2 linked regions of the Oryzias latipes genome follow. Each later gene encodes a partner of the first gene's protein in a complex. Links are inferred from orthologs where the notes say so. Each region holds a gene or a part of one and is shown on either strand. Other genes may lie near its edges. The genes, in order: tert and dkc1.

Region 1 (3,818 bases):
ATCAGAATGGAGAAGGAAGACTTTGGACCACCGATTGTAGATTACTAGAACTTATTTTGTTACAACTAGAAGCTGTTTCAAAGGCATTTTTCATCTGCTCCTTATTCACAATGATTTGAATAAAGAAATACTGACAAGTGCAATTTTGAGCTTAATCTACTCTATATACACTATTTTACCAAAAGTATTGGCTCATCCATCCAAATGATCAGGTGTCCTCATCACTTCTTCTGGTCACAGGTGTCTTACATTAAGCCCTCAGTCATGCAGACTCAGTTCATATGTAATCAAGGCAGGTGAGCGGATACTTTTGGTACTATAGTGTTTGTCCTCTGATCAGAAAAATGCTCCAAGAACATGTTAAAAACACCAACAGCACCCTCATCAGAGCATCAGAGTGAGTCTTTAATGATAGAACTTAATATGAAACATTAGAGGGTTAGACAATAAAAGTGTCATCTTTATTTTAATGAGCAGTTGAGTGAAGAATTTGGGACTAAATAGAATCCAGAATAGGAATGAAGACGTTGATGTTTTTTTCTTTATTTATTTATTTTCTGGAGCCCTTCCCTCCTGTGCGTCTTCACAGAATCGAACCTAAAACTTCAGGTCATCAGACAAATGGCGCCGCAGCTCGTCGTCTTACCTGCACGCCTGCAGCAGCACCAGCTTGTGGATGTTCTTGTAAGCAGACTCGAGGGAATTAGTCTGAGAAGAGAGTTTAGGGATTGATCAAAAGAACCTGGTCAGTGAAGAGAAGAGGACGGAGACTCGGCGTGTCTCCAACATCTGCTGCAGGGCAGGAGAAGCAGATGAACGGCGGTGGGATTTGGGCCTTTTCTATCACTAAGATGTTTGACCTCATTGTCTCTAGAAGATCTGAACAGGAACGATGTTCAGTTAGGATCCACCAGTTTCTCAGAAAGAACTCCAGAACATCTTCTTTTCGTCATCTGATGGAGGATTTTCAACCGTTTTTTTCCTCCTTTCATGTTTTTATGGAGAAAGTTCTCCTAATGGCTTCAGTCGGATTTTTACAAACGTTTCCATTGCTTTTAGAAACATCGGTAATACTTTATTGGCTGAAACAGAAGAACGTGACCTTCAGGCCTCTGGAAATCAGGCGGTTTCCTGACGTCATATGATGATACTGTTAGATTCACACTCGTCTGTTTACAATACAAAGCTGGAGTTTAGGAAATTATGATTTAAGGTTTAAAGTTTAGATTTCCCTCAACTTTGCAGTACAAAAGAGAGGAACATGTGTATTTAAATATTTAAACCAAACTCAACACAAGTTTTTGGATGCAGACCAACACATCTGAGCTATAAAGTATCAAACTCTTTCTTTGTTTCATTCTAGTCATTCGTTAGAACCAAAGCATCTTTTATCTACTAACCTTCAAGTCCAAAAACAGAGGGTGACATTTGATTCTGAGAATGGACATCAGCTTCCTCCTCATCTGCTGTCCTGCGGAGTGGGCGGAGCCTAGCGTGAGGCTGTAGCGCAGAGAGAGGCCTGCATAGCTGGGAGAGGTTTCAGTGATGGGAGTTAGGCTGAAGGTTGTGATGTTCCCGTGTTCGCTGCAGTCCCCTGGTTCAGGGTGGAGGCTTTTACCTGGAATAGTCTTTGCACACATCCAGCGAGCGGGTGTCCAGCAGAAGGCCGCACCACGGGAAGAGGCAGTGAGGAGGCAGCACGCGGATGTCGGGGAAAGCGCCGCCGCCCTCTGACCCCTGAAAGTTGACCACCACCTTTTGCGGGTTGGCCACCACGCCGTATTGAGGAACTCCAGCCAGCAAGATACTTCACACGAGAAAGGGTGGGGTCACAGTGAAGAGAAACCAAAGAGTTTCGTGTGTGAACTAAATGATTGATTTAGTTTATGCACAACGACTTCCTCTGCAGTCTGTTTACAGAGAAACCAGGAAGAGAGGAAGAAGACAGTAACATGTCTGCACGTGTGTGTGCACGTGTGTGTGCGCGTGTGTGTGCACGTGTGTGTGCGCGTGTGTGTGCGCGTGTGTGTGCACGTGTGTGTGCGCGTGTGTTTAAGTCAGGGGTGCTCATTACGTCGATCGACCAGTAGATCTTCAAGGACATGAGGGTAGATCAAAGGCCAGCAAAGATAAATAACCAAAAAAATAAAAATGTACTTCTAAAAAATCCACCAGCCAATCAAAATCCTTACAGAGAAGTACAGGACTTGATTGACATGCAGAACTGCCATTCGAACAACCTCTGATGCATACTTCACTGCACATGCGTGTTTAAATTTGCTGCCTGCTCCGTCCCCCCCCCCCTCTTCCGTGGCACGCGCTCCTCACGGATCAGCAGGCCTAAAAGCCACGCTCCCCCCATTGCATGGCTTACAACAGAGCATGACATACGATTGTCGCTGCTTTCTGTTTTTGTAATAAAACGCCTCAAATGTTAATACAAAAGTATCTTTGTGTAATCTCACTGTGTAGTTTTTTAATTATCAGTACATAAACAATGTTATGTACTGATAGTTCATACTATGTTTATTAAACAGTATTTAGTCTCAAAATACATATATACATTTATACACACACACATGCACGCGCGCGTGTGTAGGATTATGTATGTATGTGTGTCTCTCTGCATGTGTGTCTGCGTGTGTTTGTGTGAGTTTTAATGCATGTGTGTGTCTGTTTTTTCAGATGTGTGTGTTCATGCATGGGTGTGTCTGTGTGTGTTTATATGAGTGTTAACGCATGTGCGTGTCTGTGTGTGTTTGTTCAGATGTGTGTGTGTTGTACCTGAGGAAGGACTGTGCTTGGTTGCGGTCTGGGGTGATGAGGAGGAAGTCATCCACCAGCCTCATCAGACACCTGCAGGACAGAGGAAAAGCGTCAGAAGACTGCCCCCTTGTGTTGGTGATGTGTAACGACGTGTCCACAGAAACAGAGCCACCCTTTGTTTTTGATGTCTCTGAAGAGGACGTTCTCCATGTGGCCATAGCACAGACAGCACAGCAGAGAGGACACCACCGAGCCCTGAGGAATCCCTCGGCACTGACGGTACGTCCTGGACAAACAAATAATAATAATAATAATTGATACTTTATTTATCCCTCGATGGGGAAATTCTTCTCCACATTTTGACTCATCCCCGTGCTCGGGGGCCGACAGCTGGCTGGGGAGAGCGGGGATCGATCCGCCAACCCTTCAGTTGGTGGACGACCTGCTCGCCAGAGCTACTGCATCCATGTAGGAGATGAAGAACGTACTTCTTTCCATGCTGAACGACACTTCCTGTGAGCATCTGCGTGAAGAACTGCAAGGCGTCTTTGCCTCGAAGATTTGAGCCGAAAGCCTGTTTGAAGGAGAAGCCGTGAGAAGTAAAACAGTGAAATGTTGTAACGCCTGCATGAAAGGAACAACATGCAGACGGTCACGGTACCTGCTCCACCAGGACGGCGTGATGCACTTTGCTGCTCTTCTGCAGGGACATCACAAAGCCCTTCATGCTGGTGGATCCCATGCTACCGTCAGAGAAATCCACCTGAGTCGGAAACATCCCATCAATCTGTGTTTGCCACAATCACACGAGTTTAAACCCCAAAAACAATGTTCTGTACTGCAAATGCTGAGCATCAAAACAGGAAGCAAACATCTGGAAACAAACAGGATTTTTCTGTTTACGCTCCACTTCAAAGTCATTTCTCCAAGTTTCCTCTGGATCTGCACCTGTCTGGCGAAGGCTTTCTTCAGGCCTTCGTGGGAATCAGCCCAGATCTTAGCGTAGTGGCGGACGGTGAAGACTTCCTCTTGGACGGGTGACAAAGCCTCGG
Region 2 (4,520 bases), on another chromosome or scaffold:
CCTAAAATACATCAAATGATAAAAAGGGAGTAATGTTAGGGTTTACGTCATTATCATTTGCTTACACGCCATTATCACCATATTATTGTCTCAGTTCCATATTTCAGAAAGAAAACAATGACCTGAAATGTTCTGATTACACAAGAATATGTTGTTCCTGATTAAATGACCCACATTCATGTCTGCAACCTTCAGTTTTCAATACAAAGAGGCTCCGTGCACAAAATGAAACCACTTCTTTGTTTCATTGTATTTCATGTATGTAACAATTCTCTTTTTGTTTGCAATAAAAAAAAAAAGAATTGAAATAGGATTTTACTCTGGAGGGTTTAAATGCAAGACCTTCCAGAACCTCAAGCCTCAGCCGTGTGTGCTTAAGGCAAGCTCTTACTGGATCATCAGGTCAGACTTACCCGGGCCAGAGCGTGCTGGTTCTCCACTGCATTGTGCAACCGGACGATCCCCACATACTCTTTACCTGCAACACAGAACAGTCAGGCTTCAACCAATCAACGGCTCCCAAATGGCTCGCAGCTAAAGGAACCAGTGCTTAGGTGAAGTGGGCCAATCACACAGTGCTGGCAGACTGAGGATCGCCCGGTGACAGAAGCAGATCCTTGTACTTTGACTCTGTAGCGGACCCATGGTCACATGGTGTCTGCAAAGACAGACGTCAGGCCAGCTGACTGCAGCAGCCAGGTGTGCGCGCACAAAAATATTCAGCAAACGTCCTGACGTGGACCAGGGCGGTCAGAGATGGCCTGCTGCTGAAATGACCCCCGTGCTTCCATATGCGTTACTAAAGCATCAGCAAAAGGTTTGATTTCGGATCATCAGTATCCGTTTTTTGTCTTTTCATTTATTAAAGCTAGAGTGTCCTTTTCCATCTTCATTGTCTGGACTAAAATTCACAGTTTTAGATAAAGCAAAAACTAAATAGAAACAGATTTGTGGGGGTCTGGTTTAGATCAGTACGGATGAAGTGGAGGGGGACATTGAAGAGAATGAAGAGTAGAAAAGCCTTTGGATCCTCAGCTCTAGTTCTGGATCAGACCCATCCCCTCTCAGGTCTTAGTGATTGTAATCTGCCAATCAGACCTGAAGCCCAAAACCCAGCCAGACACCCTCAGGACCCGTACCTGCACTCTGCTGCGATTTGACCAATCGTGTGGCACGGTCTATACACACAATCAGGCAGCCAGTGACCTTGGGATCCAGCGTCCCACTGTGTCCAGTTTTCTCCACTCGCAGAATCCTACGAATCCACGCAACCACCTCATGGGATGATGGGTTGGCTGGCTTGTCCAAATTGATGAAGCCAGACCTTAAGTAGAGGAGGCAGTGTCATTATGCAATCTGCGTCATAGCATTGACCCTACGCAACGTGAATGTACCTGACGTAATCTGCAATGTTCCTCTTCAGGGGGTTGCTGCCGTTGGGCAGGGGAGTGTAGTGGCCCGTCCGCACATTCAGCTTATCGAAGTTCTGCCAAAACAGGAAACAGTTTGAGGTCGATGTACCAACCGAAGCGAACACCTGGCGTTAAATCCTGAATTAGCTTTTTGTCTAAGGGAGAAACCAACCCCAGTACCAGGTTGCCCAAATATTCTCATGCCCTTTGACCCCATGCTGGTACTACTTTTTCGTAACATACTCTCCAAAAAGTAGCCATCTGAATCACTGCCGGATAGTGAAGCCTGGACCACATAGCCATTTTTTTGTTTGCTCACACATTTCCTGTTTCAAGGCGGCGTGTGATCAGAGCAGAGCATCATCTTGACAACAGTCTGGTCGCTTCCACCTCTACACGGTCACCTCCTATAACCTGGCAGAACGCCAGGTCACAGTTGGTGACCAGCAGAGACCAGGCCCCAAAGATGGAGACGGGCAAAGAAACGCCAAGACTGCAGTGCTCAGAGAATGGATAAACTGCTTCATCATGTCACACCAACATTGCCAACATGTCACATGACCCAGGCAGGGGTCGAGGTGGAGCTGACCTTGAGAAGGAGGGGCCATTGTGATGTGTTTAAAGATGTTGCCTTGGACTCTGGCTGGATGAAAAAGTCAGCACTCCTCTGGATCTCCTGGAAAACAAACAGTCAGCTCCAGCAGATCCATGAGATTACCTTTACTCCAGACAACATCACTCACCCCAACTTCTTCATCGCAGACTTTCTTCCCTTTCTTCTTTTTAACAGATGCTACTGCAGAAACACGGAACAGCAGATTAGTGGAGTGGCGTCCTAAGAACACCATTTACCTACTGTGAAGCATGGGGGTGGAAGCATCATGCTTTGGGGCTGCTTTACTGCTAAAGTCATCTCAATGGATCCTTAAAAATCTTGAATTCGTAGATTTTTGTCTCGAATCATCAACAAAATCTTTGACCGTTTTGGAGACCCCGCAGGTGGAAACGTTTGCACTGATCGTAAACCGGTTAGAACCGGTGCAGACATGAAACGGAGCCACGTTTTACTGCAGTTCGGCTCTGATCCGTTCGACCCAAAAACTGTCATATAATAAACTAGTCAGAACCTAATTGTGTTTCCCATTTTGATTGTGGCGCGCGCACATTTGAATCAAACAGGTGTTTGTTAAAAACTAACGACTTATTCCCAACGCACGTGGCGTTTCCTGCACGTCACGTGGACTGGAAGGACCACGCGGGGCGGGAATCCAAAGAAGCGCTCAACCCCTGAAGTAGCAGACCTCCAAAAGCGAACCGAATCTGACCCGGTTTATCGTGTAGGCCGCCCGGAGCAGGACGCACGTGGCGCGGTTCGGCCTGCTTTGGTGCGCGGCCTGCTCTGCAGAACGCGCCGCGCGTGCGATGGGAACTGCGTCAGTAACGCCGTGCGGGCGTGTTGATTTTGCATTAAGGGTAGCGGTTCTGATTCTGGCAAAACTTCAGAACCACGTGGGTCGCCCTTACCTTCAACCTCCGCCATCTTCTTCCAAGTGACTGCGTGCGAGCGTCCGCCTTCTTATTCTTTGGTCTACGAGCACCGGAAGACGATCGAGCCACATCCGGGGCGGGGCTAGAGAGCTTTTGGATTTCCTCTCATGTATTGGGATTACCGAAAAACTAGTTAACCAGGGTTTAGGCTCTTTATTCATCCAGAGTCTCGGGCACTGACAAACTCTCAGAAAAGGAATAAGACTTATAAAATAAGAAGGTTATTTCCCGAACTTCCAACCCAAAGAGACACTTAATGAATGTCATTTATGAAGATCTGTTTCTGAAGGAAACTGCTGTAGAAAATGTATGTTTTAATATCTTATTCTTCATTATGTTACAGCTTTATCTTTAGTGTGAAGTGAACTCATCAGGACTTATTCTCCAGTGACCTTCACTTGTGCTTTGTAGTTGCAGCAGCAACTAGGACTTCTTTGTGCAAATCTAGGAGTTTCCAGAGATGGAATAAATATGTCATGGACTACATTTCTACTATCTGGGTTGAACATCTTATCCTAGGGAAAGTGTTCAGATTCCTGTTCTCATGTGGAGGATGAAGCTGACCTCTGATCACGTGCCGGTGATGGAGTATCCGTTTGGCTGGTAGGATTTATTTGGACCAGATGAGGACTCTTGATCGTTGGATTGTGTGCGCCGGTGAAATAATAATAATAATAATAATGGATTAGATTTATCTGCGCTTTTCAAGACACCCAAAGCGTTTACATTGTGTCCATTATTCATTCACTCCTCATTCATACTTAGTGATGGTAGCTACGGTTGTAGCCACAGCCACAGACTGACAGAGGTGTGGCTGCCATTTCGCGCCTACGGCCCCTCTGACCATCACCGGGATCATTCATACACATCCACACACCAGTGGAGCCACACTGGAGGCAAGGAGGGTGAAGTGTCTTGCCCAAGGACACAACGACATTTTGGCTGGTGGGAGCGGGGATTGAACCGCCAACCCTTCGATCATTGGACGACCCGCTCAACCACCTGAGCCACTGTCGCCCCTTTGAAAGGCGAGCGGATCTGGAGTTGGCAACCTTCAGCTATTGGCCGGTGGAAGCACAAGGGATACCGGCTGACGAATCAGAGTGTTCCGGGGCGGAGATCCAGTGGTCATGATGTTTTCAGAAGGAGGAGTGTCAAACACATGTTTAAAAGACTGTTTTGGACGGACTTTACTGTTCTTAGGAAAATCTACGATTCGCATGTAATTCGCATGTAACTTGTGCGTCAGTAGGTCTTTACTTGAGAATCCAGATATATCTGCATTAATGTTTAATCTGTGCTCTAGAACTATTGTCAGGGAAATAAACTTCGTGTATTTTTAATCCGGTTGAATCCTTGTTTGCTTTACCACTCTCGTCTCGACTACTGAACATGCATGGATGGAAAGAACTGAAAAGCAAAGATTTCTTTCCTACACTGCTGAGACCAGAATGAAGTTTCCAAGCTCCATTTAATAATAATAATAATACATTACATTTAAAAGGGCCTTTCAAAACACCCAAGGACACTGTATAGGTTCAAAAGTAAAACACAGTAAAA

The links.
Region 2: tert (region 1) and dkc1 share a complex: the UniProt entries of both Homo sapiens proteins name them as parts of the telomerase holoenzyme complex. The link is inferred for Oryzias latipes from reciprocal best matches to the Homo sapiens genes TERT and DKC1.

What each region holds. Positions count from the first base shown.
Region 1 is NC_019869.2:25,698,304-25,702,121, forward strand, and holds part of tert (telomerase reverse transcriptase), read right to left. Parts: coding exon 3,715-3,818; intron 3,530-3,714; coding exon 3,428-3,529; intron 3,341-3,427; coding exon 3,255-3,340; intron 3,053-3,254; coding exon 2,939-3,052; intron 2,857-2,938; coding exon 2,785-2,856; intron 1,808-2,784; coding exon 1,619-1,807; intron 1,528-1,618; coding exon 1,401-1,527; intron 709-1,400; coding exon 647-708; intron 1-646. UniProt on the Homo sapiens protein: Telomerase is a ribonucleoprotein enzyme essential for the replication of chromosome termini in most eukaryotes. Active in progenitor and cancer cells. Inactive, or very low activity, in normal somatic cells.
Region 2 is NC_019880.2:47,582-52,101, forward strand, and holds the start of dkc1 (H/ACA ribonucleoprotein complex subunit 4), read right to left. Parts: upstream 3,029-4,520; 5' UTR 2,953-3,028; coding exon 2,937-2,952; intron 2,209-2,936; coding exon 2,156-2,208; intron 2,089-2,155; coding exon 2,002-2,088; intron 1,487-2,001; coding exon 1,395-1,486; intron 1,325-1,394; coding exon 1,140-1,324; intron 479-1,139; coding exon 414-478; intron 2-413; coding exon 1-1.